Linked DNA regions of Macaca mulatta. The protein of the gene in region 2 interacts with the protein of the main gene of each other region in a pairwise test. Links are inferred from orthologs where the notes say so. Each region holds a gene or a part of one and is shown on either strand. Other genes may lie near its edges.

The links.
Region 1: the proteins of DVL2 (region 2) and ELOA2 interact in a two-hybrid assay, tested with the Homo sapiens proteins (2 studies listed by BioGRID and IntAct). The two-hybrid records come from large-scale screens. The link is inferred for Macaca mulatta from reciprocal best matches to the Homo sapiens genes DVL2 and ELOA2.
Region 3: the proteins of DVL2 (region 2) and THAP1 interact in a two-hybrid assay, tested with the Homo sapiens proteins (2 studies listed by BioGRID and IntAct). The two-hybrid records come from large-scale screens. The link is inferred for Macaca mulatta from reciprocal best matches to the Homo sapiens genes DVL2 and THAP1.
Region 4: the proteins of DVL2 (region 2) and SNIP1 interact in a two-hybrid assay, tested with the Homo sapiens proteins (2 studies listed by BioGRID and IntAct). The two-hybrid records come from large-scale screens. The link is inferred for Macaca mulatta from reciprocal best matches to the Homo sapiens genes DVL2 and SNIP1.
Region 5: the proteins of DVL2 (region 2) and AP2M1 interact in a two-hybrid assay, tested with the Homo sapiens proteins (2 studies listed by BioGRID and IntAct). The two-hybrid records come from large-scale screens. The link is inferred for Macaca mulatta from reciprocal best matches to the Homo sapiens genes DVL2 and AP2M1.

What each region holds. Positions count from the first base shown.
Region 1 is NC_133423.1:45,343,281-45,349,673, reverse strand, and holds ELOA2 (elongin-A2), read right to left. Parts: upstream 3,617-6,393; coding exon 1,349-3,616; downstream 1-1,348. UniProt on the Homo sapiens protein: SIII, also known as elongin, is a general transcription elongation factor that increases the RNA polymerase II transcription elongation past template-encoded arresting sites.
Region 2 is NC_133421.1:8,710,122-8,715,982, reverse strand, and holds the end of DVL2 (segment polarity protein dishevelled homolog DVL-2), read left to right. Parts: coding exon 1-15; intron 16-158; coding exon 159-228; intron 229-387; coding exon 388-527; intron 528-615; coding exon 616-692; intron 693-1,604; coding exon 1,605-1,672; intron 1,673-1,866; coding exon 1,867-1,995; coding exon of another isoform or gene 1,996-2,013; intron 2,014-2,075; coding exon of another isoform or gene 2,076-2,114; coding exon 2,115-2,246; intron 2,247-2,380; coding exon 2,381-2,560; intron 2,561-2,691; coding exon of another isoform or gene 2,692-2,757; intron 2,758-3,002; coding exon 3,003-3,221; coding exon of another isoform or gene 3,222-3,242; intron 3,243-3,305; coding exon of another isoform or gene 3,306-3,328; coding exon 3,329-3,777; 3' UTR 3,778-4,299; downstream 4,300-5,861. Other genes in the region: ACADVL (very long-chain specific acyl-CoA dehydrogenase, mitochondrial), read right to left, coding at 4,538-4,678, 4,750-4,825, 4,920-4,992, 5,076-5,148, 5,235-5,307, 5,385-5,482, 5,558-5,659, 5,749-5,811.
Region 3 is NC_133413.1:44,940,736-44,947,368, forward strand, and holds the start of THAP1 (THAP domain-containing protein 1), read right to left. Parts: upstream 3,778-6,633; 5' UTR 3,558-3,777; coding exon 3,487-3,557; intron 3,361-3,486; exon of another isoform or gene 3,207-3,360; coding exon of another isoform or gene 3,157-3,206; intron 1-3,156. UniProt on the Homo sapiens protein: DNA-binding transcription regulator that regulates endothelial cell proliferation and G1/S cell-cycle progression.
Region 4 is NC_133406.1:203,253,749-203,259,708, reverse strand, and holds part of SNIP1 (smad nuclear-interacting protein 1), read right to left. Parts: exon of another isoform or gene 5,294-5,960; intron 1,754-5,293; coding exon 1,155-1,753; intron 1-1,154. UniProt on the Homo sapiens protein: Required for pre-mRNA splicing as component of the spliceosome. As a component of the minor spliceosome, involved in the splicing of U12-type introns in pre-mRNAs. Down-regulates NF-kappa-B signaling by competing with RELA for CREBBP/EP300 binding.
Region 5 is NC_133407.1:96,315,460-96,321,290, reverse strand, and holds the end of AP2M1 (AP-2 complex subunit mu), read right to left. Parts: intron 5,318-5,831; coding exon 5,235-5,317; intron 4,842-5,234; coding exon of another isoform or gene 4,836-4,841; intron 4,638-4,835; coding exon 4,502-4,637; intron 4,402-4,501; coding exon 4,260-4,401; coding exon of another isoform or gene 4,251-4,259; intron 3,787-4,250; coding exon 3,667-3,786; intron 3,571-3,666; coding exon 3,435-3,570; intron 3,332-3,434; coding exon 3,234-3,331; intron 2,766-3,233; coding exon 2,654-2,765; intron 2,044-2,653; coding exon 1,909-2,043; 3' UTR 1,435-1,908; downstream 1-1,434.

The DNA.
Region 1 (6,393 bases), on a different chromosome or scaffold from region 2:
TTATTTTAGTAGAGATGAGATTTTTTCATATTGGTCGTCGTGGTCTTGAACTCCTGACCTCATGTGATCCACCAGCCTCAACCTCCCAAAGTGCTGGGATAGAGGTGTGAAGCTCCCCACCCGGCCTTCTTTGAGTTTTGTATGGTGACTGATAGGATCAACTCCCTTTCCCTAGAACGAATGCTTCCCTGTCTTCCTTAAATGCAGTTTACTTGTTTCTCTGTTTCCTGGCTTTTTATCTGTGTGTGTGTGTCATAGCTGGCACACATTCTTTTGATTATCAGCCTGCGTGAGGCCAACAAATGCCCTCTGTTAAAATGTAAAGGTTCAATATAGCTTGCAGAAGCCCCTGTGATCTGAACTGCAGGTTGTTAACCTGGTCATCTCATGGTAATCAGAAAGTCTTATTGGCAGCTTTAGACTTTTTGATTCAGAATCTAAATAAACTGATTACGGTGTTTCCATTCCTTCATAGGGCTTATGGGTGAAAAGATTGTGAATTATTCTATGTGTTACTTCAGGAAACTATTTTTGCTTGACAAATTTACCAGTGATTACCATTCATTTATGAAATCTGATAGTTCCTGTTTCTAAGTAATAGCAGTTTTATTTGAGCCATGCTCTGGTTCGGTCTCCCAGTCTGGAGTGCAGTGGAATGATGAAAGGTCACTGCAACCTCTGCTTGCCCAGCTCAGGCGATCCTGCCACCTCAGCCCTTTAAGAAGCTGGGTCCACAGGGGTGTGCCACAATGCCAGGCTAATTTTGATATCTTTTTCAGAGGTGGGGTTTCCCTGTTTTGCCCAGGCTGGTCTTCACCTACTAGGATCAAGCGATTTGCTTTCTTTGGCCTCCCAAAGGAGGATGGGTCATGAATACAGGATCATGCCCAGCGTTTTATTAAAACAACAACAACAACGACAATAAAGAGTTTATGTATTTGGAGTTATCAGTGTCACCTAATGGCTTGTGAATTTTTGTCTAATAAGTTCTTATCTACTTGATGATTTCCAAAAAAAGAAAGGAAAAAGGGAATCTCACATCTTTTTCCTTATTTATGATTACAACTAGGGTGTTATTTTAAAAACGATCAGTGAACAACCAAAAGATAATTGTTCCGAATGTGTTCATATCTTCTGAATTCTGAGGTGTCCTCCAGGCTGGGAGGTAGTGGTTGGGTGTGGGAGGTAAAATCACAGGTCCAGCACGTGACACCTACAGAATTCAAAGGCTCAACTTTGCACCAAGCTAAAGGTTCTGGTGTCCATTGGAAGTTTCATTCCCCAACCCGCATTGACTTTGCATTGGTCCTCCTCCCTCCAGATTTTACCTGCAAGGCAAGTCCTGAGTTCATCGTGGGGAGAATCTTTTCTTGTAGTCTCGAATTGCCTTGGCCATCAACGGGGCCACTTTCTTGGCAGCCTGTTTCCGAGTTTTGGCCGCGAGCATCACGCGCTCATTGCTGCTGCTTAGGCAGGGGTTGGCCCTCTTCTCAGGGAGCTGGTGAAGGACATTGCTGCTGCTGCTGTCTCTGCCACCACTGTCACTGCCCCTGCTGGAGGGAACGTGGCTGCTTACCCCAGGCTTTGGGGCTAGCTTGAGCTCTCCATTTTCAGGTTCAGCAGCTCCTGCAGACTTATCTTGCCTCCTTGAAGCATCATAAGGCGTCTTGGCCACAGAGTTGAAATAGATCATCTTTGCCTCTCTGCTGTTGGGGTTGTTTTCACGTGCAGATCGGATATTTGCTGTCAGTACTCGTAGTCGCTGCTCTCGGGTGTCCTGAAGCCGCAGGCACAGCTCCCGCCAAGACTCTTGCTCCTGTGGCTTTCCTTCCTTGAAGTCCTGGAGACAATGAATCCTCCATAATTCATCTGTGTCCCCAGCGAGTGCGTGATTGTATTTCTCTCTGCGATACAGCTGATCAGGTGTCCACCCTTCCAGAACGGGTTCAAGATACCAGTAGGGGATTCCTTCCACATCGCTGAGGGTGTCGGGATTGTTTCTAAGGACCCGGATGCACTGCTGGCGCAGCGTCAGCACCTGGGGTTGACAGGCAGGCCTGGAGCCCGAGTACACCTGCATCTTAGCATTCACTCTGCCTCCAGTGAAAGCAGTTTCCTCCTGGAAGGTTGGTGCAGTGAGTGCTTCTGGCTTTGCCTGGGAGGTCATGGAGTCAGAATCCAATAGCGAATGGTAGTTGGCCTGCATCCAGGCCTCTGAGGGGTCCCAGAGCTCTGAGAAGGCATGGCTGGGCACCGTTTTCAGCCCTGCAGAATCAGCACCGGCTGCCTGCAGCCTCTCTGACTGGCTTTCCTCGAAAGGAAGCAATTTCTTAGCTGAATCCCAGGACACACGAGTGCCCTTTGAATCGTTTGCTTTCCTTTGTTTATCTCCAAGTGCAGTGGTGGAAGACTCCCCAGTCTTTTTCCTTTGCTTCTGCAACTGGTCATAAGTGTGGTATTTTTCAAATGACAGAGTGGGCTGCTCGAATTCCTCAGCCATATCTACCTCCTCCACCTCAGAGAGGGAGCTCATGGACCTTCTGCCCACATGAGCCGTTGGTGGCTTCCCCTCTTGAGTCTTTTGGTCGTTGGAAAGCTGCTCTTTCTCCTCAGAGGACAGGCGGTGTGTCCCATTTCCTGGGTACGGGCCATCTAGACTGGGCATCTTCTTGTTCAAGTGTCTGTGATGAGGCCTATTTGGGTGACCGTCTGGAGCCACCACCAAGGCGGGGACATGCTGGCTGCTGCCAGCTGGTCCCCCTTCCTTGTCCTTCTTGGCGTCACCCGAGGACGGCCTGTCCCTGGCACTTTCCCGGAAGGGCATCCTTGGGGTTTCCTCTCTTAAGCGGGCCCAGGATGATTTCTCCCTGATCAAAGTAGGGGAGTGCCAATCGCCCTGGGCACACAAGGGGCATTTTTCCTGGTGGAACGATTTGTGTCCCTTGCTGTGGCTTACAAGCGCTTCCCCCTGGGGTTGGCCCTGGCAGCCCTGACCCAGCAGAGGCCCGCCCTGAGCGGCGTGAGCGTGGCCTCTTCCGGGTTGCTTCCCGGGCACAGCCGGCTCAGGGCCCTCGGGCGTCGGGAGGGGAGCGGTGTGCAATGGAGGGGCCCGATGGGGGCCTGAATCAGCTGGGGCCCTTCTGCGGCGCTTTCTCTGGGCTCTGTGCTCGCGACTGGGAGACCTTCTGTGAGGTCTCTGGAGTCCCGGAGGTGTTCTGTGTGCTGTCCGTCTGTGCTCAGGACTGTCAGGTGGGCTCCTGGGGACCTTCCCGTTCTCTGGGAAGCCCCAGGCCTTTTCCTGGTCCTGAAGAGCCTCCCCATAGCGCTTTCGGGAAGCGCTCTCCTCGGGGTCCTGTGCATCAGGCCCGGTGTTTGGGTCCACAAGCACCAGCTTCTTCCACCGGGCCGCTAAGTCTCTGGCAAAGTCGCCCACGTGCTGGTGCTTCCGCAGGCGCTTCACCGTCTTTCTGATTCCAGTCTCCGCCAGGATGTCTGCCGTCATGGGCAAGGCGGAGAGTTTCTGCAAATATTTCTCTAGCTTTTTCGGGTCCATCTTAGTGGTCAGATACACCTGCAGCTTCTCCACTGCGTGCAGCGTAATGGATCCTGCTGCCATCTCACCAGAGCTGTGCAGGCGTCACTGTCCTGGAGGTCTCGGCTCTTTCCTCGGGGCGGCGGGACACGAAGCCAGGCAGCGACCTCGGGATGTGGAGTCACAGCCTGGAGCGAGCTCGGTCCTCGAAGCAGCGGACCACTGGTTCCGGGTCGCTGGTCCTTGCAGACCGTAGGCCTCATGACGTGGAGTCACCACAGCCTGGAGCAAGCTCAGTCCTCAGTGCAGCGGGCCACTTGGTCTGGAACGCCGGTCCTTGCAGACCGCTGAGCAAGCCTGCTTCTAGTCCTCGGGATGTGGAGCCATAGCTGGAGTGACCTCTGCGGTTTGCAGTCCTACACGGAATGCAGCTCTGGTGCCAGAGCTGGGCCTTATATGGCCCACGGCAGGCCCACACTCACGGCTCTAGCCCTGACCCTCTTAGCTCCTGGGCTTCCCCGCCCCAATACGTACTCATGCCGTCAGCACAATGCAGACAATCGGGACGGTCCACGCCAGGTGGACTGCTGTGCCCCAGAGGTTGATTAGGTGAATTTCAGCCTCGACACACCCCACTGAGTTCTACCGTTGGCCTACCATTATATCAGTTTCCGTATCTGTGGATTCAAAAAAAAAGCAGACTGAGTCTTCTTGGGAGTAAAACAGAAAATAACACAGCAAGATAAAATCACAGAAAGAAGAACCAATACAGGATAACAACTCTTTACCTAGGACTGATGTTTTGTGAGGGGACTTTCAAACATTTGTCAAAACTGGGATTAAAAGACCAAAATAAAACCGTTTGATTTTATTTCTTAACATCTGCTCCATCAATTTCAAGACAGTTTTCAAGCACTGTCTTGCCCCCACCTTGTCCCTCAAGCCCTGATGGTTCTGGGAACTTAACAATTTCCATGAAATCTTTTTTTCCATTATTAACTGAAGAAAACTGGGTGCCGTTTGCAGAATTTTTAATACTAGGAAAGAAATAGAAGTCAGCAGGTTCCACATCATGACTGTAAGGTGGACGCCTCATGATTTCCCATTGAAACTTTTGCCAAACTGCCCTTTGTTCAGTGAAATGCAACAGCAAGAACTTTTTCATGATTAGGTAGAACTCTCTGATAATGGTTTTTCTGCTCATGCTTTGGCTAATTTTCTCAAAAATTCTGTTAGTAAGCCCATTTAATGATGGTTTGGCCCTTCAAAAAGTCATTTAGTCGTATATTTTGAGCATTCCCCAAAACTGTTACCATGACCTCTTCCCTTGACTGGTCCTCTCTGTCTTTGACTGGAGTGCTGCCACCTTTTGGTAGCCATTGTTTTGTGCTCTTTCTTCAGGATCATCCAGTGTAGCCATGTTTTATCCCCTCTTACAAATCTTGGAATAAATATTTCTGGATCTTCTTCCACCTGTTTTAAAACTTTAAAGAAATTTTTCTCTTGTCTCTAGCTATTATTGTTGAAACAGATTTGGTATCTGGATCGGACTTTCGTTTTTCAGTGACAATTATTAAAACAGGATCATTTGAAATATAGTATCTATGTTTTTTTCTCTTCTGTTGTTACTTATTTGTCCTCTCAAATTAGGGAACACTTGGTCCTATGTTTCTGAGCATAGTTGACCAATTCTGACATTGTATGAAATTCAGCAAATGTCTTTTCTGGATCTGTAGACACTTCTTTTGAGATTTCTAGTATTTTGTTGGATTGTACAGCATTTGAAATTTAGGAAGTTTCCTGGCAGAGCCAGGAGATAATCAGGAAACAAACAAAAAACAAATTAGAACGTACAGGTATATATAGTCAAGCTTTTAGGTGAATATTAGATGCAGAGACTGTAAAAGAGAAGTATAGAAAAAACATTTAAAATAAGAGAATAAGAGATGTGTCCTTTTTAACTGTTTGTTTTTGAGATGGAAAGCTTAATGCAAAATTTGGATCTTATTACTGAAATTGAAATGAGCTCATGCAAATTAATCTCCATAGCACCCGTAAAAAGGAAATTAAAAGCACTAATGTTGCATGTGGTGTATATACAGTAACATTTCCTAAATATCTTCTCAGTCTAAAACTGGGAATGATATTCAATGCTTCCTTTTCCTCAGGCTATGGTATCATAGGATTCAATTTTGAATTTGATAATGGAGGTATATTTGTGGCACAATAGCCCACAAAGGAAATGAAAGAAGAAGAAAACCGCCAGATTATTGAAACATACAAATGAGACACCTAGATTAGATGTTCACTTCTGGGCCTCCTTTCTTTGTACACAGAAATTAATGGGCATGTACTTGTGTCCTTTTCAGGGGCACACCATCTCTTACAGTTTAAATAGAACTTTTTTGGGGGGAGTGGCTCATTCTTAGTTTTTTTTAATTCAGAAGATAATTTTCTATGTTAATTTGAATGGCCTGGGCAGAAAGATGTAGATCTGGCCAACTTTATACCTTTAATTAAGAAATTTGTAAGACTGCATTTTGTGTTTTCAGTAACAGAAGCTCATCTTAAATATTTAACACTACATTTTGAATAGTGTTTTTAAAACTCTCTTTCCCTATTTTACTCGTACTGAATTCTGAATTTTTATCAATCTTATCTCAAAATAAAAATCATATTATTATTTTAAGACCTGGTCACCACAAGTAAAAACTGCTTCACAGTCCACATAGTAGGAAAGCCTTTTTTTTTTTTTTTTTTTTAATTGGAGATGGGAGTCTCCCTGTGTTGCCCAGGCTGCTCTCATCCTGGGCTCAAGTGATCCTCCCACCTTGGCCTCCCAAATTGCTGAGATTACAGGA
Region 2 (5,861 bases):
CCCCGCCTGGAGAGGGTGAGGGGTTCCCACGGGAAGGCTGGTGCTGGGAGAAGGTGGGGCATAGGCTTTGGTTTGGGTGGTGCCTGGACACTGGCAGCACCCCAGGGTTGACCCTGGGTCATTGAAGGGCACTCTAGCTCCTTCTTTTCCCACCACAGACATCGTCCTTCAGCAGCGTCACAGATTCCACCATGTCTCTCAATATCATCACAGTCACGCTAAACATGGGTATGGGGAGAGCCTGTGGCTAGGGCGTGGGGAGGGCCTGGTCTCTAGGGTTCCAAGGGTCCTGCGGCTGGGGCTCCTCTCCTCACATGGCCTCTCTCTCTAGGGTTCTGGGGGTCCTGCCGCGGGGGCCTCCTCTCCTCACATGGCCTCTCTCCACAGAGAAGTACAACTTCCTGGGTATCTCCATTGTGGGCCAAAGCAATGAGCGGGGAGACGGAGGCATCTACATTGGCTCCATCATGAAGGGTGGGGCTGTGGCGGCCGACGGACGCATTGAGCCAGGGGACATGCTTTTGCAGGTGTGCTGGGGTGTGGCCACCGAGCTGCCCTGCACGGGAGCCCTCAGCCTCTCCCACCATGCCTCTGACCCACTTCCCCTGCTTCCAGGTGAATGACATGAACTTTGAGAACATGAGCAATGATGACGCCGTGCGGGTGCTGAGGGACATTGTGCACAAGCCTGGGTAAGTTGCCAAGCAGGTTGCAGGTCCTCAGTTCTCTTTTTTTCTCTTTTATGTTTTGTTTTGCAATTTTAATAAGTAGTAAGGCGTGGTGGCTCATGCCTGTAATCCCAGAACTTTGGGAGTCCGAGATGGGTGGATCACCAGAGGTCAGGAGTTCGAGACCAGCCTGACCAACATGGTGAAACCCTGTCTCTACTAAAAATACAAAAATTAAGTGGGTGTGGTGGCGCACGCCTGTAGTCCCAGCTAGTGAGGAGGCTGAGACAGGAGAATCACTTGAACCCCAGGGGGCGGAGGTTGCAGTGAACCGAGATCACACCGCTGCACTCCAACCTGGGCGACAGAGCGAGACTCCCATCTCAAAAAAAAAAAAAAAGTGCTGAGACATAACATTCAAAGTACGTGAAACAAATGTGTGACGTATCAATACTAGAGTGAATATCCATGTCACTGCCACTTAGACCATCAAATAGGAGATTGCTGATATTCTAGAACTTCCTCCCCAGATGTCCCTTCCTGCTCCCAAATGCCTCCCTCCCCCAGGGGTGGTCACTCTCCTGACTTCTTTGGCTATCACCATAACAGAGGAGAGCTTTGCCTCACTCGATAGTTACCATTCTTGCATGTATCCTTGAACAGCACGGTTTCATTTTACCTGTTTTTGGTCTTTCTGTGAATGGAATTGTACAGCGTGTACTCTCTTGTCTCATTTGGCAGTATGTTTTTAAGAGTTTTCCATGTTGATGAGTCATCCGCATTGTGGTGCCTTCCACCCTCACCTTCTCCAGCCCAGCCGCGATGTGCTTGCTTCTCCTTCTCTTTGTGTCTCTTAATCCATCCTTGCTTCAGGCCCCCACTCTCCTGAGGCCTCCTCTTCCCCTGCGCCCTTGACTGGACTTCTCTTCCCCGTAGCCCCATTGTGCTGACTGTGGCCAAGTGCTGGGATCCCTCTCCTCAGGCCTATTTCACTCTCCCGAGAAGTGAGTGACACTCAGGGAGGGGGCCTGAAGTTGGGGGTGGGGGCTGGCCAGGAGGCTGGGGCTGGACCTCTGGTCATGGGGAGTGGGTGGGAGGAGGGTCCAGGCAGAGGTGGAACAGGAGGCTGAGTCAGGGAGGGACTGGGCTGGCTTTTGGGGACTGAGAATGGGTCATTTTGGTGCCATCTTTGTCCCAGATGAGCCCATCCAGCCAATTGACCCTGCTGCCTGGGTGTCCCACTCTGCGGCTCTGACTGGCACCTTCCCAGCCTATCCGGGCTCCTCCTCCATGAGCACCATTACATCTGGATCCTCTTTGCCTGATGGTGAGCCACCAGCCCACCGCATCCCACCCTCCCAGCAGAAGGCTGTCCTGCAGTGGTCTGACCCATTGCCTTTGTGGGAGTGATCCCTGACTCTCATTCCCTGTGGTCTCCTCTGCCAGGCTGTGAGGGCCGGGGTCTCTCCATCCATACGGACATGGCATCGGTGACCAAGGCCATGGCAGCTCCAGAGTCTGGACTGGAAGTCCGGGACCGCATGTGGCTCAAGATCACCATCCCTAATGCCTTTCTGGGTACGGCTGGGTCCTGGGCAGGTGGCTGGAGAAAGGGAGGAGGAGGCAGCCAAAGCCGGGAGTGGCACAGGCAGAGGCGAGAGCAGGAGTTGGAAGGAGAACCTGAGGCCTTTTTCCACTGTGGATGCTCCCAGGCTCGGATGTGGTTGACTGGCTCTACCATCACGTGGAGGGCTTTCCTGAGCGGCGGGAGGCCCGCAAGTATGCCAGTGGGCTGCTCAAAGCGGGCCTGATCCGACACACCGTCAACAAGATCACCTTCTCTGAACAGTGCTATTACGTCTTCGGAGACCTCAGTGGTGGCTGTGAGAGCTGTGAGTCCCTCTGCCCCAACTCTGGGAGTGTGGCTTTGCCTGCCTTGTTCTGCCTCTCCAACCCTAGACCTAGCCCAGAAACTGCAGCCAGGGCCACGATGGATGGTCGAGCAGCGTGTGTCCCGCACTAGGTCCTGCATTGGCCGAGGATCGTGGCTGGCATCCATCCATGCGCTGCTGGACAAGCCACGCGCCAGGTGCAGGACTGTGTCCACCGGGGGAAGGTGCACATCCTCCTGAGTCCCACAAAGACATGGGCTAGTGGTGGCCCTGGCTGTGCCCCTGCCCTCATGGCAGAAGTAGATGGGAGTTTCCTGTCAAGAGTCCCCTGTGAACCCCTGTTTTGAGCCCCATCGTGGGTGGGTCTGGGCTCTCCATTCCGTGTCTTGGGGCCTTAGCCTCTTGAAGCAGTGATTTCTTCCTCACTTCCCTTGTTTTCCAGACCTAGTCAACCTGTCTCTCAATGACAACGATGGCTCCAGTGGGGCTTCGGACCAGGACACCCTGGCTCCTCTGCCTGGGGCCACCCCCTGGCCCTTGCTGCCCACTTTCTCCTACCAATACCCGGCCCCACACCCCTACAGCCCGCAGCCCCCACCGTACCATGAACTTTCATCTTATACCTTTGGTGGGGGCAGTGCCAGCAGCCAGCACAGTGAGGGTAAGTCATCCCCACATACCTGTACGGCCAGGGTCTGAGGGTGGATCAGAGGGCAGCCAGGGAGGAGCCTGGGTGAGGACTTAGTTGCCCCTCCCCTCCCTCCACAGGCAGCCGGAGCAGTGGGTCGACCCGGAGTGATGGGGGGGCAGGGCGCACAGGGAGGCCCGAGGAGCGGGCCCCCGAGTCCAAGTCCGGCAGTGGCAGTGAGTCCGAGCCCTCCAGCCGAGGGGGCAGCCTTCGGCGGGGTGGGGAACCAAGTGGGACTGGCGATGGGGGCCCTCCTCCATCCAGAGGCTCAGCTGGGGGTGCCCCTAATCTCCGAGCCCACTCGGGGCTCCATCCTTATGGACCACCCCCTGGCATGGCCCTCCCCTACAACCCCATGATGGTGGTCATGATGCCCCCACCCCCACCTCCAGTCCCTCCAGCAGTGCAGCCTCCGGGGGCCCCTCCAGTCAGAGACCTGGGCTCTGTGCCGCCAGAACTGACAGCCAGCCGCCAAAGCTTCCACATGGCCATGGGCAATCCCAGCGAGTTCTTTGTGGATGTTATGTAGCCCACTGTGGGGCCAGGCTTGGCCTGGCGCTCCTGGTGTGTGACTGGCTGTCCTGGCCATCATGTGCTTGCTCTTACAGTGCCTGGGCTCAGCCTAGCAGCTGCTGCCATACAGGAGATTGTGGCCACTGTGACTCTCACCAGCAGTGCCTGGTTCCTCCCCCTTCCCTCGGGTAGACAAGGGACCTTTGATTATTTTTAGCTTTGTTTTTTTAATAAGTCTTTTTGGGGGTTAAAATAGAGTTTCTTACATTTTTGGGACTTTTTAAATAGGCATTTTCTCTTTTATATGAAAAATCCCGTCCGTTGGGCCCCTTCTAACCCCAGAATGTGACCTCCTCCTCCAGTTACCCATAGCCTTGCCCTGTGCAGGTTTGGGGGTGGTCAGTGGTACCCTGGGGTTAGGCACCCTAGACAGCAGCCTGAGGAAGCTGGGAGATTTGGGCCATGTAGCTGCCTTTGTTACTCTATTTATTTTAGTCACTTGTATAAAACACCAAATAAAGCAATAGAGGCAAACTCCCCACGCCTCTGGCTCCTTTCTTTGGGAGGGAGGCAGGCAGCAGAGGGAAAGAACGGACACACAGGAGCAAAGCATGACTGGTTAGAAATTTTTATTATTTTCGAGGCAGTAAGTGCTCTTGAGAGCAGGCACAGTCCTGGGAATACTAGGCCCCCTCCGGGACAAACCAGGGCCCTAAGGAGAGGGGCTTTGGCTTGAGGAAAGGCACATAACCGGGCCAGGCCCTGGCCAGGAGTATTCAGAAGCCAAGTGGGTTGCTGGTGACCACACCACCCCGCTCCACCAAGGCCTTGGAGATGCTTTTGAAGTTGCGGTAGAGCTCATGCTGCCGGGGGTCAGACTGCAGGGCGGCCATGCCCTCTCGGATCCGGGCTGCAGCCTGGGGAGAGGGAAGGAGGGTTGGGCCTGCACCTCTAGCCCTCACCTGAGCTTAGCAGCCCCGAGTCTCACCTCGATACACCAGGTGTCACAGAGCATTTTCTCATGCTGGGCCGTGTGGTGGCCCTCACTCAGGGATCTTGAAGCCCTGGCAGGAAGCAGGAGATGAAAATAAATCTGGGCCGGCTGGGATCCAGGCCCAGGCCCCCTGCGGCTCAGGCATTCCCCGCCTGCCTCCTCACCTCGAGAGAACCACCACCATGGCATAGAGGTCGATGGCCCCGTCTGCCAGCCGCTGCAGCAGAAACTGCTCATCTGCCGGGTAGGTGGGGTGGGGGTGGGGGCATTAGTCTCAAGGAGAGGAAAGGGAGGGGCGGAAGGGTGTAGAGCTCACTCACTGACAATCCCCTTCTTGTGTTTTATCAACTTGGCCTCCACCACAGTGGCAAACTGCTCCAGAGCCTGTACTGCCTGAAGAGATGGGGACAGTGCAGGGCTCAGAGGGGCTGTCGGCTACAGTCCCTGACGCAGGCTCTCCTGGACCCCTGGCCACTTACCAGCTCACCGCTGCGACTCAACTCCGGGTGGACAATTCCACTGAGACTCAGGCCGCTGCCCAGCCCTGCCCGCCTGAGAGGAAGAGGGAGAATGACTGGTTAGTTGTCATACACTGCCCTGCCCTCCCCTGGCCCTGACCCTAAGCCTACCGCCTTAGCTGTTTGCCTGCCTCTCCCAGCAGGAGGCCAGCATTCCCAAAGGGATTCTTTAGAGCACTGCCAAGCCCAGAGAGCTCCTTTCCTTTGTCCTATGGGGAAGAGGGTCCAGCAGTCAGGACTCACTGTCCTCCCCACCTCTACCCCCACCCAATTCTCCCTCTTACCATACAGCCCTGCAGAGCCACAAACAGCCGAAGGATGTCATTTGTCCCCTCAAAGATTCGGAAGATGCGAAGATCTCGGAGCACACGCTCTACTCCAGGTTCCTAGCACAGGGCCACACAAATTATATGCCCCTGCTGAGATGTGCCTACCCACCCCTGGCCCAAACGAGGCTCAGAAGACCGTCCTGTACCTTCATGAAGCCCATACCCCCCATGATTTGGATGCATTCATCTGTCACCTTCCAGGCTGCCTCCTAGGGACAAAGAACAGATGAGACTGGTTGTGGGAGCTGAGCTCCCAAAC
Region 3 (6,633 bases), on a different chromosome or scaffold from region 2:
AGCTGGGACTACAGGCGCCTGCCACCACATATGCTACCATGCCCAGCTAAGTTTTGTACTTTTAGTAGAGACGGGCTTTCACCATGTTGGCCAGGATGGATTCGATCTCTTGACCTCGTGATCCGCCCACCTTGGCCTCCCACAGTGCTGGAATTACAGGCGTGAGCCACTGCGCTGGGCCCTCATTTATTAATGTTTAACTTTTTATAGTGAGTTCACCAAAAGATTCAAGTAAAATACATACTATAGAATAAATGTGCCCGTGGCTCATGTCTGTAATCCCAGCACTTGGGAGGCCAAGGTCCAAGAGACTGCTTAAGTCCAGGAGGTTGAAGACTAGCCTGGGCAACACGGCAAAACCCTGTCTCTACAAAAAATACAAAAATTAGCTGGGTATAGTGGTATGTGCCCAGGTACTTGGGAGGCTGAGGCTGAGGTGGGAGGATTCCTCGAGCCTGGGAGGTCACGGCTGCAGTGAGCTGAGATGGTTCCACTGCACTCCAGTCTGAGTGACAGAGCCATACCCTGTCTCAAAAAGAAAAAAACTGTATTCTATTTTTACCAGTAATTTTCTGTGTGCTGCACAGGAAGACAAACATTGCACATTTGTATCTATGTACTGGGAAAGAGGGGCTTCTAGTTCTCTTAGCATCAGTCTGACAAATACGAACAGGCTAAATTTGAATTAAAGGCAGATAATAATGAAAGAAAAGTATTTATTTTCTAATCAACTGGGATGTCCATTAGGCCCAGGTAAACGGGGATAGTGAGAGTTTAAATTTATTGTGGTTTTACTCTTCCAAATTAAGGATTTGGTAAACTGGGGGGATTAGAAAAAAAAACAAAGGAAGGGGGTTTTGAATTTACGTTTCACAGTTTTCTCTTCCATGTACAATATGCTAGAGCCTGACTCTGCTAGTAAGAGATCTTTATGACAGTCCCTTTTCTTTGTACAACATAGCACTCTCTGCTGCCACTATGCAGACGGTGGGATAAGTGGTACTCCTAGAAAATCTCAGCTGGGGCTGGGCGTGGCCTGTAATCACAACTGTAATCCCAGCACTTTGGGAGGCCGAGACGGGCGGATCACGAGGTCAGGAGATCGAGACCATCCTGGCGAACACGGTGAAACCCCGTCTCTACTAAAAAATACAAAAAACTAGCCGGGCGAGGCGGCGGGCGCCTGTAGTCCCAGCTACTCGGGAGGCTGAGGCAGGAGAATGGCGTAAACCCGGGGGGCGGAGCTTGCAGTGAGCTGAGATCCGGCCACTGCACTCTAGCCCAGGCGACAGAGCCAGACTCCGTCTCAAAAAAAAAAAAAAAAAAAAAAAAATTAGCTGGGCGTGGTGTTGCGCGCCTGTAGTCCCAGCTACTCAGAAGGCTGAGGCGAATCGCTTGAACCGGGGAGGCAGAGGTTGCAGTGAGTCGAGATCGTGCCACTGCACTCCAGCCTGGTGACAGAGCAAGACTCCATCTCAAAAAGAGAAGAAGAAAATCTCAGCTGGAAATGGCCTCTATACGTATAAACTAGGGTGGCATTTGCTGGTAAAATTCCGTACCTATGGCCTCCTGGCTCTGTAAGCATAAACTATGGTAGCATTTGCTGCTAAAATTCAGTCAGTACCTAGGGCCTCCTGGCACAAGGACCACAAATTTACAGCTGTTTGTGAGATTCTGTTAAAATCTTTCCCATCTACTCTCCCTAAACCTGCTCTTTTAGATAAGGGATAAGATGCAGGTTAGCTCTTCTTTTGATTCAATCCGTATGTGTTTAACACCTAGCAGAAACAGTTATTTCTCTCTTTTTTTTTTTTTTTTGACATGGAGTCTGGCTCTGTTACCCAAGCTGGAGTGCAGGGCAAGATCTCAGCTCACTGCAACCTCCATATCCCAGGTTCAAGCGATTCCCCTACCTCAGCCTCCCAGGTAGCTAGGATTACAGGCGTACGCCTGTATTTTGTATTTTTAGTAGAGACGGGATTTTGCCATGTTGGCCAGGCTGGTCTTGAATCCTGACGTCAGGTGATCTGCCCACCTAGGCCTCCCTAAGTGCTGAGAATTACAGGCATGAGCCACTGTGCCTGGCCAAAAACACAGTTATTTCTGACGTGTGAATACCCTCCTTAAACTTGTTTCCAGTGCCAGTGAAACATTTTCCATAATTTTAGATTCCTTCTGCCATGCCATCAGAAATGTGGGTGGGGAGCTGCACATGTAATCCTGTTACCATCACCTGACCTTTTCCTACATTTCGAAAGAACATGTTTACAGAAATTCCAATTAAATTAAGAGACAATATTAGGATATCCTGAACTGAATCCTGTAAGTGTTCTACCCCCTTCGCCAAGGGGTAACATCATTACTCTGGAGACCTATGTTCTACACTCTCTTATTTCTATAGGGTCCATCTCACATGATATCAAACACTTAAAAAATGCATGGACACTCCCCTAGTAAACATAGATGGCTCCACACCAAAATAAAAAAATTGAAAGGATATTTAACATTTTGCTTTTGTAATTACCTAATTATAAAAGATAATTAGCTAATTACCTATGACTAATTTGTATAGTTTACCCCTGGATCTGATTTCTTAGCTATCATCTGCATATAGTTGTCAGGAATTCTTACAAAGAAAACTTAACATAAATGTAATTAAAATTTGTAAACAAATTCAGCTGAATGTTATGTCACATTTTACAAGCGTTTGATTATCATAAGTAATTGCAACTTTGCACTTTTTTTCCTATTTTCAAGAGAATATTTTTGATCCTAGCACTCTTAACTGTGCTACCTATTGGATAAGACAGCTCTGAAAGCTGTGGGGCAGTTTCTTTCGAAAGAGCTTCCTCTATGCACAGGTAATGCCGTAATAAATAAAGATCAGTGTGAGTCATTTTATTATGATCCATGTTGTAACTATCCATATTATCATTATTGTGTGCTGAAAAGATAACGATTTATCTTGGCAGTACCTGAAGCTTTCTTCAAAACTCAGGGTCCTTAAAGCTTAGTTCCTAGAGATTTGGGGCAAAAATTCTCCGGGATTTCCCAGCCAAAAAACCCTTAATTGCTACGATGCTGGCCTCCCATCCACGACAAGGGAAAGGCCTTTGTTTATATTTCAAATTTACCCCTAAGACGTTATTACAACACCTGGCTGCTCGTGACCCTGGTGGCGGCAAAACCCGCGCCACCATAGGCATCGCCCGCGGGCTCCAAACTCGTCAACCGAGGCCTGGAGCGAAGCCTGCAACGAGGACCTGTTCCGAGAGCGCAAGAAACAACCGCCGCGGAGACGCGCGCCGAGAACGCGCGATCGGGCGACGGTTCCCAGCAGGACGCGGCGGGAAACGCCTCGCGCGGCCGGCCCCAGACCCCACCCGCCCCTCGCGCGGACACGCGCCTGGCTCCGCCCCCGGCCCCGCCGGTCGCGCGCCCCCACCCTGGCTAAGACCGGCCCCGCGAGGCGCGCAGGGTCCTCACTTGTGGAAAGAAACGGGCTTGTCCTTGTCGTAGCGGTTCTTGCAGCCGTAGGCGGAGCAGGACTGCACCATCCTTCCGGTCTTCAGGCACTTCACTTCTGCCGCCGCAGAAGGCAGGGGAAGCTGCTTTCAGTGTCGCCGCGCTCGGTTGGACACCCTCGCTCTTTTGTAGCTTTGGCCAACAGTTACAGTAATGGTGGCCTCCCTCTGGGGTGACTAGTGTGCCCGTTTTGTTGTTTGCATTAGCAGAAGGACCACAGCCATCGCCCGTCTCCCATCTCCAAGATGGCGGAGGCAGCTTCAACCTCACCTCTCGCGAGGGGTGCGTCCCACTGTCTCTGATTAGCCCCGAGGTCAGAGGTAACGATTCCTGGGAAGCTAACTATTGGCTGAGGCCAGGTGTTTCCGGCGGTGGCTTCAGAGTTGCGGAAGTGGGCGGAGCCCTGAACTTCCGGTAGGCAGGAAGGAACAGCTTGCGGGGGAGGAGGCGCGGCGGGAGGCTGGATTCCAGGGGCATCATCCAGCCCGGGCTGTTCCCGTGGGTTAATTGATGCGGAGCTTTTCTGGGGCGGCTTACAGTAGGAAACAACTAGGGCCTCATGGAGAACAGGTGTAAAGCCGAGGTCGTTGTCTGATTGCGCCCATTTCTCTAAAAGGGCGGACACAGATGGTGTATGATTAATAAAATTGTGGAACCTTTTCCCAGAATGCTGATCTTTTTCCCATTACCTGTGTCTTCAGGCATCACAAGTCTCTGAGAGCCAACGTGACAGGTTTTTAGCAATGAAAAAAGACACACTCGCCAAATCATCTGAATTGCCAACGCAGAAGCATTATATATATGTATATATGTATGCATATATACGTGTGTGTGTATATATATATATGTAATTTTTTAAAAAAATAGAGGCAGGATCTCCCCACGTTGCCCAGGCCAGTCTAGAACTCGAGCTGAAGGGATCCACCTATCTCGACCTCCCAGTGGGTTGGGATTACGGGAGTTGAGCCACCAGGCCCTCCCTCCCCAGAAGCTTTTGTGAAGGGCTGTCCATTGCTGTGATTTCCATGTGCGGTGTTGCAAATAGGGAGCTGCTGCAGCAGTTTTCACATCTGAGAGAGAATATGTCAGAGGGGTTCGAAATAGAGCGACTCTGTGTTGAGTGAGGGCTAGGAAAATGAGGCTGGGACTTGCTGGGCTGCATTCCCGGAAAGTTAGGTGTTCCTAGCCTCTAGATGTATACCATTAAGGCAACAGATTGATAATGTTTACTAAACAGACCCAGACTTCGAAGTGTCCAGATATCTCGATATTTTGAGAACAGAAGCATTCCTAATTTTGCTTTAAAGATAATAATGGACTGGGCACAGTGCCTCACGCCTGTAATCCGAGCACTTTGGAAGGCTGAGGCGGGCGGATCACTTGAGGTCAGGAGTTTAAGACTAGCCTGGCTAACATGGTGAAACCCGTCTCTACTAAAAATACAAAAATTAACCGGGTGTGGTTGGCACATGCCTCGAATCTCAGCTACTCTGGAGGCTGAGGCAGGAGAATCGCTTGAATCTGGGAAGGCGGAGGTTGCAGTGAGCCGTGCTTGCACCACTGCACTCCAGCCTGGGCGACAAGAGTAAGACTCTGTCTCATAAATAAATAAAGATATCGATTCTTACATAATATAGTAATTAATCCTTTATCACAAACCCTTGTAGCACAGCACATGTCCCCATGATCTTTTTTTATTCTATATATAAACTAAGTGTTGTACTTAGGGTGGATGCGTTCCTTCTCTTTCTTTCGGGAACACCCTACTCTGTCTGTGGAGTAGCTGTACTTTCACCACTTTACATTCTTAATAAACTTGCTTTTGCTGTGCACTGTGGACTCGCCCTGAATTCTGTCTTGCATGAGATCCAAGAACCTTGCCTTGGGGTCTGGATTGGGACCCCTTTCCTGTAACAGTTTTACTTCATTCCCTGCTCCTTTTCTTTATATAGATCTGAGCCAGGCAAACCTGGAGAGCAAAATGTTGAGTAATCCTTTCGCCCTTATTCTCTACCTTTCCTGCCCCTTTAAATGTTGGTGTTTCCCCAGGGTTCCATCTTCTGGCCTCCTGTAACTCCTAAACACCCTGCTCCTTAAACTGAACCAAATACCATAATTCTCTCATGTTTTATTTCCTTTGTATATCCGTTCTGCCTTTGGGATTATCATCTGTGAATTATCTGTTCAACAGTTGCCTAAACCAGAAACCTTGGAGTCATCTTGGATTAGTTTTTGTCACCCATAAAATCCTTTGATGACCAGGTTAATTTTATAGACTAAATAAATAAATGCCTCTTAAATCCATCCCTCTGCATGTCTCCTCACTGTTCTTTTTTTCTTTTTTTTTTCTTTTTGAGAGGGAGTGTCGCTCTGTCGCCCAGGCTGGAGTGAAAAGGCACGATCTCAGTTCACTGTAACCTCTGCCTCCCGGGTTCAAGCAATTCTCCCGCCTCAGCCTCCTGAGTAGCTGGGATCACAGGCACCTGCCAACATGCCCGGCTAATTTTTGTATTTTTATAGAGACGGGGTTTCACCATGTTGGCCAGGCTGGTCTTGAACTCCTGACCTCAGGTGATACGCCTGCCTCGGCCTCCCAAAGTGTTGGGATTAGAGGCGTGAGCCACCGCGCCCAACCCTCACTGTTCTTTAATTATTTTTATTATTATGTTTAATAGAGATGAGGTCTCACTATGTTGCCCAGGCTGGTCTCAAACTCCTGGGTTTAAGCTATCGGTCAGCCAGGGCCTCCCAAAGTCCTGGGACTACAGGTATGAGCCACGGTGCCTTGCTTCCTCACTGTTCTTGACCAAGCTCTCATGGTCTTAACCTTGCAGCAACCTCTTAACTATCCTAGTCTCCAGTTTTACCTCTCTCCATTCTATCTTCCATAGAAGGGTTGTGCATGCCTGCCATGCCCCTGCTCGTATCTTTGCAAGGCTACCTGCTGTACTGAATAAAATCCAAACTTCTTATGGTGAGTTATAAAGCTCTTTAGGACCAGGTACTTCTCTTCCACCATCATCTCCCTCCACTTGTCTTTACCTCTGTTCCAGCTTCATGTCTTAGAGGGCAGGCTCTTTTGTGGTTTCTTTAAATAGGCTGTTTTCT
Region 4 (5,960 bases), on a different chromosome or scaffold from region 2:
CTGTAGTCCCAGCTACTCGGGAGGCTGAGGCAGGAGAATGGCGTGAACCCGGGAGGCGGAGCTTGCAGTGAGCCGAGATCGCGCCACTGCACTCCAGCCTGGGCGACAGAGCGAGACTCCGTCTCAAAAAAAAAAAAAAAAAAAAAAAAAGAAAATAAAGTGCACAATAAATGTAATGCACTTGAATCCTGAAACCATGTCCCTGGTTCCATGGAAAAACTGTCTTCCATGAAACCGGTCCTTGGTGCCAAAAAGGCTGGGGACCACTGTACTATAGTGATCATTTGTTAGGCAAGTCACTTGGTTTTGCTGGGCTTCAGTTTTCTCATCTGTCAAATGGGGATATAAATACTTGTCCATTCAAAGTCAGGAGACCATGTTAAAACAAAACAAAACAACAACCAACAACAACAACAAAAAATGGGCCAGGCGCAGTGGCTCACACCTATAATCTCAGCAATTTGGAAGGCCGAGGCGGGTGGATCACGAGGTCAGGAGTTCGACACCAGACTGACCAATACAATGAAACCCTGTCTCTACTAAAAATACAAAAATTCCCTGGGTGTGGCAGCGTGCGCCTGTATTCCTAGCTGCTCGGTAGCCTGAGGCAGGCGAATCGCTTGAACGCAGGAGGCAGAGGTTGCAGTGAGCTGAGATCACGCCACTGCACTCCAGCCTGGGCACAGAAGGAGACTCCGTCTCACAAAAACAAAAAACCAAAAACCGGTCCTATCCTTCTCACAGGATTGTTGTGAGAATCATCACAGATGTCCCACGCAAGCTATCAAGAACCAGTTTCAAAATTAGTAGAGCACAGAGGCACATGCCTATGGTCCCAGTTACTCAGGAGGCCAAGGTGGGAGACAATCATTTGAGCCCAAGAGGTTGCTGGAGTGAGCTGTCTTTGCTCCACTGCACTCTAGACTGGGTGACCGAGTGAGACCTTGTCACAAAAAAACAAAAAATAGATTAAAAGTATAATGTTCTTATAAATATGTAAACAATTATTTAAAGGGAAGTTAGATTAACAATACTCTTTAGATATGAGGGGTATGGGATTCTTCTGTATATGTATGAACAAAAATCTTAGTAATCCTAACTAACTGAGCAATTGTTTCTGCTCACATTAGAGTTTCTTCCTCCATGTTACTTACCGATATTGAAAGACCGCATGCTGCTTTGAACAAGATGGGTGATCGATAGGAATGTCTGCAATGCGGCGGTGTCGACCCAGTAGATACGCACTCTGTCGATGTATGTACATGACTGGAAGCACCTCATCATTTTTAAATGGGTAGAGACGCCACCGTTTTTTTGGAATACGTGCTTCTGGGGGCTCACTATATTTAATGACTACACCCCGGAAAGTGTTGGTGTCCTCAAGAAGTGCCCCAGAAAGTTCATAGCTTGGTTTTTCTTTAGCAGGCACCTCTTTTTCTTTGTTGTTGCCACCAGGCCGAGGAACCAACTCCTGAGACTCACTACCGCCACCACCAATGTCATTCCTCTGGCGATGCTCCCGTCGCCTGGCATTATAAAACTCCCGCTCTTCTTCCTGAGCCTGCAGGTTCTGAGTGTCTCGCTCCCGTCCCTGACCCTGCCCACTCCCAGGTCTCTCGTTAGACGTTCTCCTTTGGTGGGAATGGCCCCGGTGTCTGTACCGGTCACTTTTCCTAGCTCTCCTGTGTTCCTGTTCTGATGGTTCCCTGTGCTGCCGATCCTCCCGTCCTCTCCGGGGATGATCCTCACGCTCCTGAAATTCAAACAGATTCTGTAATTTTAACACAGTGCACAATCTAAAGACAGCCCAAATCTTGTTCTTTTTGAATGAGGTATATTCAAAAGGTCTTTTGTAATTTGGAGTTTGGCATTTAGAACAACATTTCCCACAGAAATAAGATTATGTCTGGTGGTTATGTTCCCTTGCAAGGCCACAAAAATGATATCCCATGCTGCTATTCAACCATAGCCCTAATAGCACAAGCCCAGGTCCAGAGCCCTAAAAACAAGAGACTATTTAGTCCAGAAAGGAGAAAGAAAAATAATTTCCTCCTTTTCACAACAAAGGTAACTATGGGAAAACTTACAGGGAAGAATATACAGAAAATAGAACTAAGAGTTAAGTAGTCAGGTACAAGATATGTAAAGAAAGAAGCTAGCTTTCTCTCATGCCAAAAATGAAAATATAACAGTTTTTAAATCCTACTTCCACAGTTAAAAAAAAATTCAATACCTAGGAATAAACTTAAGAAACATGAAAGACATATAAGAAGAAATCTGTAAAAATTCATTAAAATAGAGGCTTTTTAAAGATCTGAAGAAATGGAGAAACATACCATGATTTCTTGAAAATGACAGCATTGAAAATCAGCCTAGGCCAGGCACGGTGGCTCATGCCTATAATCCCAGCACTTTGGGAGGCCGAGACAGGCGGATCACCTGAGGTCAGGAGTTCCAGATCAGCCTGACCAACATGGTGAAACTCCATCTCTTCTAAAAATACAAAATTAGCCGGCTGTGGTGGCACATGCCTGTAATCCCAGCTACTCAGGAGGCTGAGGCAGGAGAATCGCTCGAACCTGGGAGGCAGAGGTTGCAGTAAGCCGAGATCGCGCCATTGCACTCCAGCCTGGGCAACAAGAGTGAAACTCCTTCTCAAAAAAAAGAAAAGAAGAAAAAAAATCAGCCTGGTAGAAAATGTCTGCAACACAAACCAGACAGTAGTCCTAGGGGGATACATTCTAAGTATGGTGGACGGCTGAAACCACGGATAGTACTGAACCTGACTGCCATCAAACGTAACACATTTCTGTTCACATCTTCCACCCATAAATTTAATGCCTTTTCCATCTTAACTAAGCACTTATGAACTGTGGCTGTAACTTTTACAGTATGAAATACAACAGCAAAACTAGCATGAATTTCTTTTTCCTTCCCCACAATTTCACAATAGAAGATTCATTCTTACTATTGATCTTAGCAACTTCAATATAGGATTTGAAAAGTTTTTTTTAAGTTGAGAACTTTCATCTTTTCGTTTAGGAAGCACTTTACAGCTTCTCTTTAGCCTTCCTAATTGCCAAAATCACTGCTATTGCACTTTGGGGCCACTACTAAATAAAATAAAGGTACTTGAATCCAAGCACTGCAAACTGCAACAGTTATCTGATAACCAGGATGACAACTAAGTGACGGACAGGCAGGTAGCGCATACAGCACAGATACACCAGACAAAGGAAGGATTCATGTTCCTGGTGGGACAGCACAAGTTTACACCAAATGACTCAGGATAGTGACCAATTTAAACTTTATGAGTTGTTTTTTTCTGGAGTTTTCCATTTAATATTTTCAGATGTAGAAAGTGAAACCACAGATAAGGGGGGACTACTGTATATTACTATATCAATAAGAAACAATTCAACAGAGAAACTGACAAATGGCCAGGTGCCAGTGGCTCACACTTGTAATCCCAGCACTTTGGGAGGCCAAGGCAATGGATCGCTTGAGCCCAGGAGTTTGAGACTAGCCTGGGCAACATGGTGAAACCCCGTCTCTACTAAAAATACACAAATCAGCTGGGCACAGTGGTGCATGCCTGTAGTTCCAGTTCCTCAGAAGGCTAAGGTGGGAGGATTGCTTGAACCTAGGAGGCAGAGGTTGCAGTGAGCTGAGATTCCACCACTGTACTCCAGCCTGGATGACAGAGCAAGACTCTGTCTCAAAAATAAAAAAGGAAAGAAAAATGAACAATTTTCAGAAGAAATAAATGTCCAAGGGCCGAGCACAGTGGGTGACGCCTGTAATCCCAGCACTTTGGGAAGCCACGGCAGGAGAATTGCTTAAGCTCAGGAGTTTAGACCAGCCTGAGCAACACGGCAAAACCCCACTTCTACAAAAAATACAAAAATCAGCCAGGCATGACAGCATGCACCTGTAATCTAAAATTACAGCTATTCTAGAATTTGAGGTGGGAGGATCACTTGAGCCCAGGAGGTCGAGGCTGAAGTGAGCTATGATCATACCACTGCAGTCCAGCCTGGGCTACAGAGACCCTGTCTCAAAAAAAAAAAAAAAAAAAAAGAAAAAAGAAATACATGTCCAATAAATGCATGAAGATATGCTTAACCTAATAACCAATGCATCAAATTCTAAAAGAAACATGAATTTTCTCTCCTTGAATTAGTAAAATTAAAAAGATCAATAATATCTACAGTCAAAAAGGAAGGCACAGGAAAATGGGTATTTTCAGTCACTGCTGGTACAGGTATAAACTAGCATAGCCTATTTAGGTCAATTTGACAGTATTTAATCAAAATCTCATCAACCACTAATGCCACTTATAGAAATCAATCCTACAGAAATACTAGCAGAAACGCACAAACACATACATATCAATGTGTTTACTGTAATTTCATAATAAAAAAACTGGAAACAACTTAATGTCCTGCAACGGTAGAATGGTTAAATTATTATCTATTCATACAAAGGAATACTTCCCAGCCATGAAAAAGAAAGAGATCATGACATAGAAAGATATCTAATATATTGTTAAATGAGAGAGGAAAAAAGAGAAGGGGCAAGTTTCACAATAAGACCAGATATTTCTATATATAGACTTGGCAGATGAAATACTTGGAGAGATGTTCCCACTATAATTTAACTAGATACTTATTAAATTTTTAATGTATTGTTGGGCTGTCAATAAGCAAGGCAAAATCTCCAATGAGAAAAAAATCTCCAAAGTGGGGTAAGAAAAAAAAACAGATTTGAGCTCTAAGCATGGGCTCAAATACTAAAGAATACTAGACACACACAAGGAAATGGAAACAAGCCACTGAGCATGAGAGGCAGCAGAAACAAGTCTTATAGGGTGGGCATGGTGGCTCACGCCTGTAATCCCAGCACTTTGGGAGAGCAAGGGGGGCAGATCACTTGAGGTCGGTCAGGAGTTCGAGCCCAGCCTGGCCAACATTGTGAAACCCCGTCTCTACTAAAAATACAAAAATTAGCCAGGTGTGGTAGTGCATGCCTGTAATCCCAGCTACTTGGGAGGCTGAGGCAGGAGAATCGCTTGAACCCAGGAAGTGAAGGTTGCAGTGAGCAGAGATGGCGCCACTGCATTGTAGCCTGAACGACAAAGCAAGACTCCATCTCAAAAAAAAAAAAAAAAAAAAAAGAAACAAGAGGCCGGGCAAAGTGGCTCACGCCTGTAATCCCAGCATTTTGGGAGGCCGAGGCGGGTGGATCATGAGGTCAGGAGTTCAAGACCAGCCTGGCCAAGATGGTGAAATCCCGTCTCTACTAAAAATACAAAAAATTAACCAGGCGCGGTGGCGGGCGCCTGTAATCCCAGCTACTTGGGAGGCTGAGGCAGGAGAATCGCTTGAACTCGGAGGGCAGAGGTTGCAGTGAGCCGAGACTGTGCCATGGACTCCAGCCTGGATGACAGAGACTCCATCTCAAAAAAAAAAAGAAACAAGTCTTATAGATGTAGATCCCCAAGGACTTCATTCATGTACAAAATTTTATTATTTTTTTTTTATTTTAAAAAGAAAAAATGAGACATTCTTTGCGGAGAGTCGCCGGGGTTTCCTGGTTCAACAGTGCTTGGACGGAACCGGGCTCTTGTCCCCCACCCCGGCTGGCCGCCCATAGCTAGCCCTCTGTCACCTCCTCACTGGGCCCTCTGACGGTCCCAAGGCCCCCGTCGCCAGTCCAGCGCCATGCAGTCACTGCCACGCAGCCACTGCCACCACGACTGCGTCCCCCTCGCAGGTGAGCCAGAACTACCACCATCAACCGCCAGATCAACCTGGAGTTCTACGCCTCCTACATCTACCTGTCATGTCTTACTACTTTGACCATGATGATGTGGCTTTGAAGAATTTTGCCAAGTACTTTCTTCACCAGTCTCATGAGGAGATGGAACATGCCGAGAAACTAATGAAGATGCAGAGCCA
Region 5 (5,831 bases), on a different chromosome or scaffold from region 2:
GCCAAAGGGCAAGAAAACCAGGACAATGTGGCCTGTATAAATTATTCCCTACATACACCCAAAGCAGACTTCTCCGCACTCAGTAAATGCCAGTAAAAGGCTATTTCCTTTCACCGATTCCCTCAGGAAGTTAGGAATTTCCTCCAAAATGACGCTACTGCTTTACATTTAAATCGTAAATATTCCTCCGATGGTTCTCTAAAAGTGGCACCGAAAACTATATTACCCATTCACCCCTTTGGATTAAACACTGCCATCATGAGGAGTCAATCCGGATACTGAATCATTTTACAGGAAATACAGGTAAAGAGGAATATGTTAAGTGACTTCTTGGGGACAACAGGCAAACTACAGAACTCTGGTTTCTTCGACAAAATTGCAAGACCTGAAGGGAAACATCGATTTTTAAAATTTGAGAAGCATTAGCCAACCACAATGAACCTTGTCTGGAAAAATTTGGTAAGACACCTGGTTAGTGAACACAGATTGGATGTGATATTAAGGAACAGGTCACACATTGATCATAGTTGAAGTTCGGTGATGAGACATGGAGATGCATTTATATATATATATATATATATTTTTTTTTTTTTATTTGAGACAGAGTTTCACTCTTGTTGCCCAGGCTGGAATGCAATGGCGCGATCTTGGCTCACTGCAACCTCCACCTCCTGGGTTCAAGCCATTCTCCTGCCTCAGCCTCCCGAACAGCTGGGATTACAGACATGCACCACCATGCCCAACTCATTTTGTAATTTTAGTACAGACAGGGTTTCTCCATGTTGGTCAGGCTGGTCTTGAATTCCTGACCTCAGGTGATCCACCCACCTCGGCTACCAAAGCGCTGGGGTTACAGTGTGAGCCACCGCACCCAGTCCATTGTATTATTCTGCTTGCAAATCTTTCCTCCTACCACCCACTCAGCAAGATTTGGGAAGCATGGGTAAATGATGGAATTAAAAGGTCAATTTCTTAGGATGGCTATAAGACCAAACGTAAACTTCACTTAATCTATACCTAATCTAATTAGAAAACATCTGCCTAAGAATTAGAGAAAGAGCTGGGTGCTGTGGTGGCGCGTGCTTGTAATCCCAGCTACTCCAGAGGCTGAGGCAGCCTCTGGATCCTAGGCTAAAGATCTCTTGAGCCTAGGAGTCCGAGGACCAGGGGGAATAAAAAAGAGCTAGGGAAAGATCTACCCCCAGGGTACTGGGGCCTGCTGAGGCTGCTTGCCCTTGAGGCTTTCTTAGAGGAGCCAGAAAACCTGGGCCCAAAACCCACAAGGATAGGGGCTTGGATGGCCCAGGAGACGCCTAACTGGGACAAGACAAGGAAAGAGCTTTTAGAGTATTCAGAACAGAAAACTGCGGGGAGAGCAACACCAGTTCCCTCCCCACGTAGCTCCCACATCAACACTTAGCCAGCAACTCCACTCTACAGAGTTTATTGGGTTTATAACTGGACGAAGTCACACGTGTACAAAATGAAGCTCACACTATCCCAAAGCAGACTAGGGACTGAGGGCTGGGGATCCGTTACTGGCCTTTGGGAGAGCTCTGAGGTGAGGGGTGCAACCGACCCTCCCACTCCAGAGGTGCGGCCACAGGCGTGGGAAGGAAAGGGAACCCACCTGGCTTTGGTCACAGAACTCAGAGCCTGGCACTAGGCCAGGACAGACAGGTGGAGGGGAGAGCAGGAGCCTCAGAACTTCCCTGTCCAGGGAGCCCAGGGGCTACTCCACCAGTCCCACTTGCAATGTGCTTGGCCCAGACCTAGACTCAGGGGCTGGTGCAAAGGGAAGGCAGCAAAGCAGGAGGGAGGAGACACTGATGTGTGGTGGGAGAGGGAGCGGCACCTGGACCTGTTGAAGAGGGTGGGTGGGGAGGTGGGCTAGCTGCCTAGTGGCAGCTAGCAGCGAGTTTCATAAATGCCGCTGCGGCCAATGTAGCGCACCCATTTGATGACATCATGGTCGCTGTAGTTCAGCTTCGGTTCAAATACCTTCAAGTAGCGCACCTTGAGGCCAGAGGGCGCAAATGGCACCTGGGCAAGGACAGCTCGTTAGAAATGTGGCCTTCCTCTTACAGCTGCTCTCCTCTGGGAAGTCCCGTTGCCCTGCTCTACTTCATCTCTACTACAGGTGTTTGAATGGCTGGGGTCCTTAAAGAAGCTGGGGTGGTGAGGGACCCTCTAAGAGGTGGCTGAAGAAGAAAGCCCTGCCAGTGACACCCGGAATCAGTTCCTTTCATCAGCAGGAGACAGCAACCAATGAACTGCTTTAGAACATACTTATCCTGCTCAATATTATGAACTTAAAAATAAGGTGGAGAAAATTATGTCTAACATGCACAAAGCAAAGTCAGTCCATTATCCTGTCTGTAAGTAAACTTTGTGTCTTACCTGGCATTTAAACAATCTAAGTTTTTCGAAAGAACTGTGTTAGGACAAGCTAAGAGAAGTGAAAGATTTGCCTCACTATGAATAGTAACTTCTACTAAGAGGCTTGAAAGGGGAAGAATGGATCTATGAATTAAAGCCAGTTCTTTCTAGGCCTCAGTTTCCTCACCTCTAAGGTGCAGCGGTTTATCGGAATGATCTCTAAGAGCTTTTCCAGCATACCCTGGCATGACTTTAGGCCCCTCCTCTGCCATACCTCAAAGTTCATGGAAATGGGGGGTCGAGCCCATTTCTTCTTGTCGTTGGTAGGCAGAAGCTCAATCTCTGCGCTGATCTGCGATTCCTTCATGCCTGCCATGCGCTTGATCCTAGGAACACAGGGACAACAGGCAGCCCATTGTAGCTTGGAGAAGTTTCAAGGGCAGTTGCCCATTTTAAGGAGCACGCCCAGGAGCTTGCAGGAGGTGCCACAAGAAGTGGTCAGGACCCTGCTAACTACTTGCTATGGAAGCTTGGGTCTACTTCTTTAGGACAACAGGATGCAGTTTCTGCCTAGACACTTGGGCATGCTATCTTTGCTTTGTCAGCTTCACAGATACATTACAAAGGCAAGCAGGGAAATGCCAAAGCATCTTAAAAAATAAGCACGTGCATGAACCCAAATGCAGGCGTGTACATACTCACATGGAGGCATAAAGGCTGACAGTACAAGCAGAGGCTCCTAGAAAAGCAAAGAGGCACACTCCCCCACCCCTCATTCAGAAGGATCAAAGGTGAAAACAAGAGGGTACACTGGGATCTTGAACCTGCTGTGGCCTAATGAAGGAAAGACTCACTTCCACACGATGGCATTCTCGCTGGCCTTGTACTTGGCCTTCCCCTTCATGCAGATCACCTGCACCCCACTTGTGTTCAGTGGGGTTGGGATCCTCACCTAGAAGTGACACACCTGTCAGGGAGCTCTGTCAAGCTGTGACATCAGCTGCCTTTATTCCTAGGGACAAGTTCTTCCTCCTCCCCAAGCCCCCTGTCCTCACCTCAATCTTCTGAGCCAGGAGTGAGGGTTTAAAGTTGGACTTGATGACCACCTTGACCTCCAGTTTGGTGCGTCCCACTTCTCGCACTAGCGGGATCACCCGGAAGGGAAGGATGATGTCCTTGGTTGTGCGATACCTTAAGGGATGGGAAGCAAGGTTACCAAAGAGCTGACCCACTTCCTCTCCCCAATCTGCCAGCAGCACTGGCTGCCTCCTCACACCCCAATGGCACCTCATAAGCTCAAACTCTCCATCTGGTGGGATAAAGCTGATGCTGCGTTCAGAGTCAAACTTGCTGAGTCGTACACACTGGTGGAAGGTGCAGTCATCAATGGCAATTGATTGCTTCCCACTGCAAGCAGGGGCAGAAGAGGAGGTCTCATTGGTACAGGAGAATGACAGGTGTCACGCTGGGAGACCACTCCACCCCAGGCTGGCACCAGAGACTATGAAAAGCTGCTAGAATGCAGCTTTCTGACTCAGAGGTCTGCCCCAGAGCTTGGGATGAGAGGGAAACCTTGTAAACTCATCTCTTGGGGGCCCTGCTGCTTGGGACCTGGGTGTTTCAGGCACACTGGGCAGAGGAGGCTATCAGTATGTACAGAAGAGGCCTTGGTCCTAGGGACCAAAAAAAGGGGCTTGCTCTGAGGACAGTCCCCTCATCTCTCTTAGCACCAATGTCAAGAGCGAACAGCCAGGCTTACCGTCAGGAACAGAGTTTGCAATTACAGTGGGAATGAAATCCAGAAGAAACTTGTGGTTCACTAGACCCCACCGAGCCCTCCAAGAGACACCCTTTCCCACCAGCTCTCCTGCCTCAGGCACCTCTTGCTTGTTTCATCAGCTGTGCCTTTGCCCTGCTTTTCAATAACAATCTTGTCATTCATCCCAAACTTGCATTCAGGCATGCCACTCAGGTAGCTCTTCATCACCACCCGGCCCGACACATGGGCACTCAGCACCTGCCCTGATGATGGAACAGATAAATGGGGAGCAGCAGAGTCAGGCAGGCAGACCCAGGATCCTGCCCTGGTCCCCCTCCAGCTTTGTTGTGAGAGGGACCTCACCTTGTGGGGACATGAGCAGGTTCACACTCTCCAGCACATCCAGGAAGAGCTCATTCCGGCGATACTTGATACCCTCTCGCCGCCAGCCAATCTGCCCAGTCACCTGGCTGGTGATCTGTGACTGCTCTTCTTTTGTCTACATGGGAGCAGAAACAAACAGCAAGAGCCTCACTCCCCTCTCCCTTTAATCATCCTGTCTCTATCCCCACTCCACCCTCATTCCCCATCCCTTCTAGTCCCCACCTGTAATCCATTTTCCCCTATAAGCCCCAAAGGGCAGGGCCTGGAGAAACAAAGCAAAGCTGCAAGGGCGGAAGCTAAGGGAAGGGCTTACCTGATGCTGGAGGCCGCAGGGCCAACGAGGTGCCCACATGAAGTAGCAAGGGAGGCAGAAAAGGAGGAGAAAGCTATGAGGCTTGGATCCTATAGGAGAGGGCCCAAGCTCTCTCCTCCTGAGGAACACCAGGCCTCAAGACCAGGCCTCCTCCCCCAACCCTCAGTGCAAAAGGAAACTGCTTGAGCTGTATTCCTGGTAACAGAGATGCTTAATTGGCTGCTCCTGCAGTGGGAGGACCACATAGAGCAAAATAGGCCTGCAATCATGGCAGGAGGCTCAGGCCAGCACTTCCTGTTATGGGAGGGCTTATGAGTCAGCTCAGACAAGGCTCAGGGGCCAGCTGAGATGAAGGGAGATTGGCCTGCACCCTGACTATAGTCTGCACAATTCAAGTACCTGACTCTTGATGCCCTGCTGCGTGATGAAGGTTTTCAGCGCGCCTGTCTCGGAATTCTGTGGATAGCCAAAGTCTAGAATCTCTGAAAAAGAAGGGAACCATCAGCCCCTGAACAAACCTTCTCATTCCAGTCCCTACTTGGGCCTACACATGTCTGACTGGCACAGCTCCCAAAGACCATGTGGGATCATCTGCAACAAAGTCTTCTAGCTTTGTAGCATTTATTCTGTGATTTGTGCTTTACAGGAAAACAATTCAAATGTTTTATTTTTTCAAATAGAGAAATCAAGGCCAGGCGCAGTGGCTTATGCCTATAATCCCAACACTTTGGGAGGCCAAGGTGGGAGAATCACTTCAGCCCAGGAGTTCAAGACCAGCCTGGGCAACATAGCGAGACCCAGCTCTACAAAAAATAGTAAAAATGAGCCAAGCATGGTGGCATGTGCCTGTGGTCCCAGCTACTCAGGAGGCTAAGGCTGGAGGATTGCTTGAGCCTGGGAGGTCAAGGCTTCAGTGAGCTGCGATTACACCACTGCACTCAGCATAGGCGACAACAGTAAGACCCTGTCTCAAAAAAAAAAAAAAAAAAAAAAAGA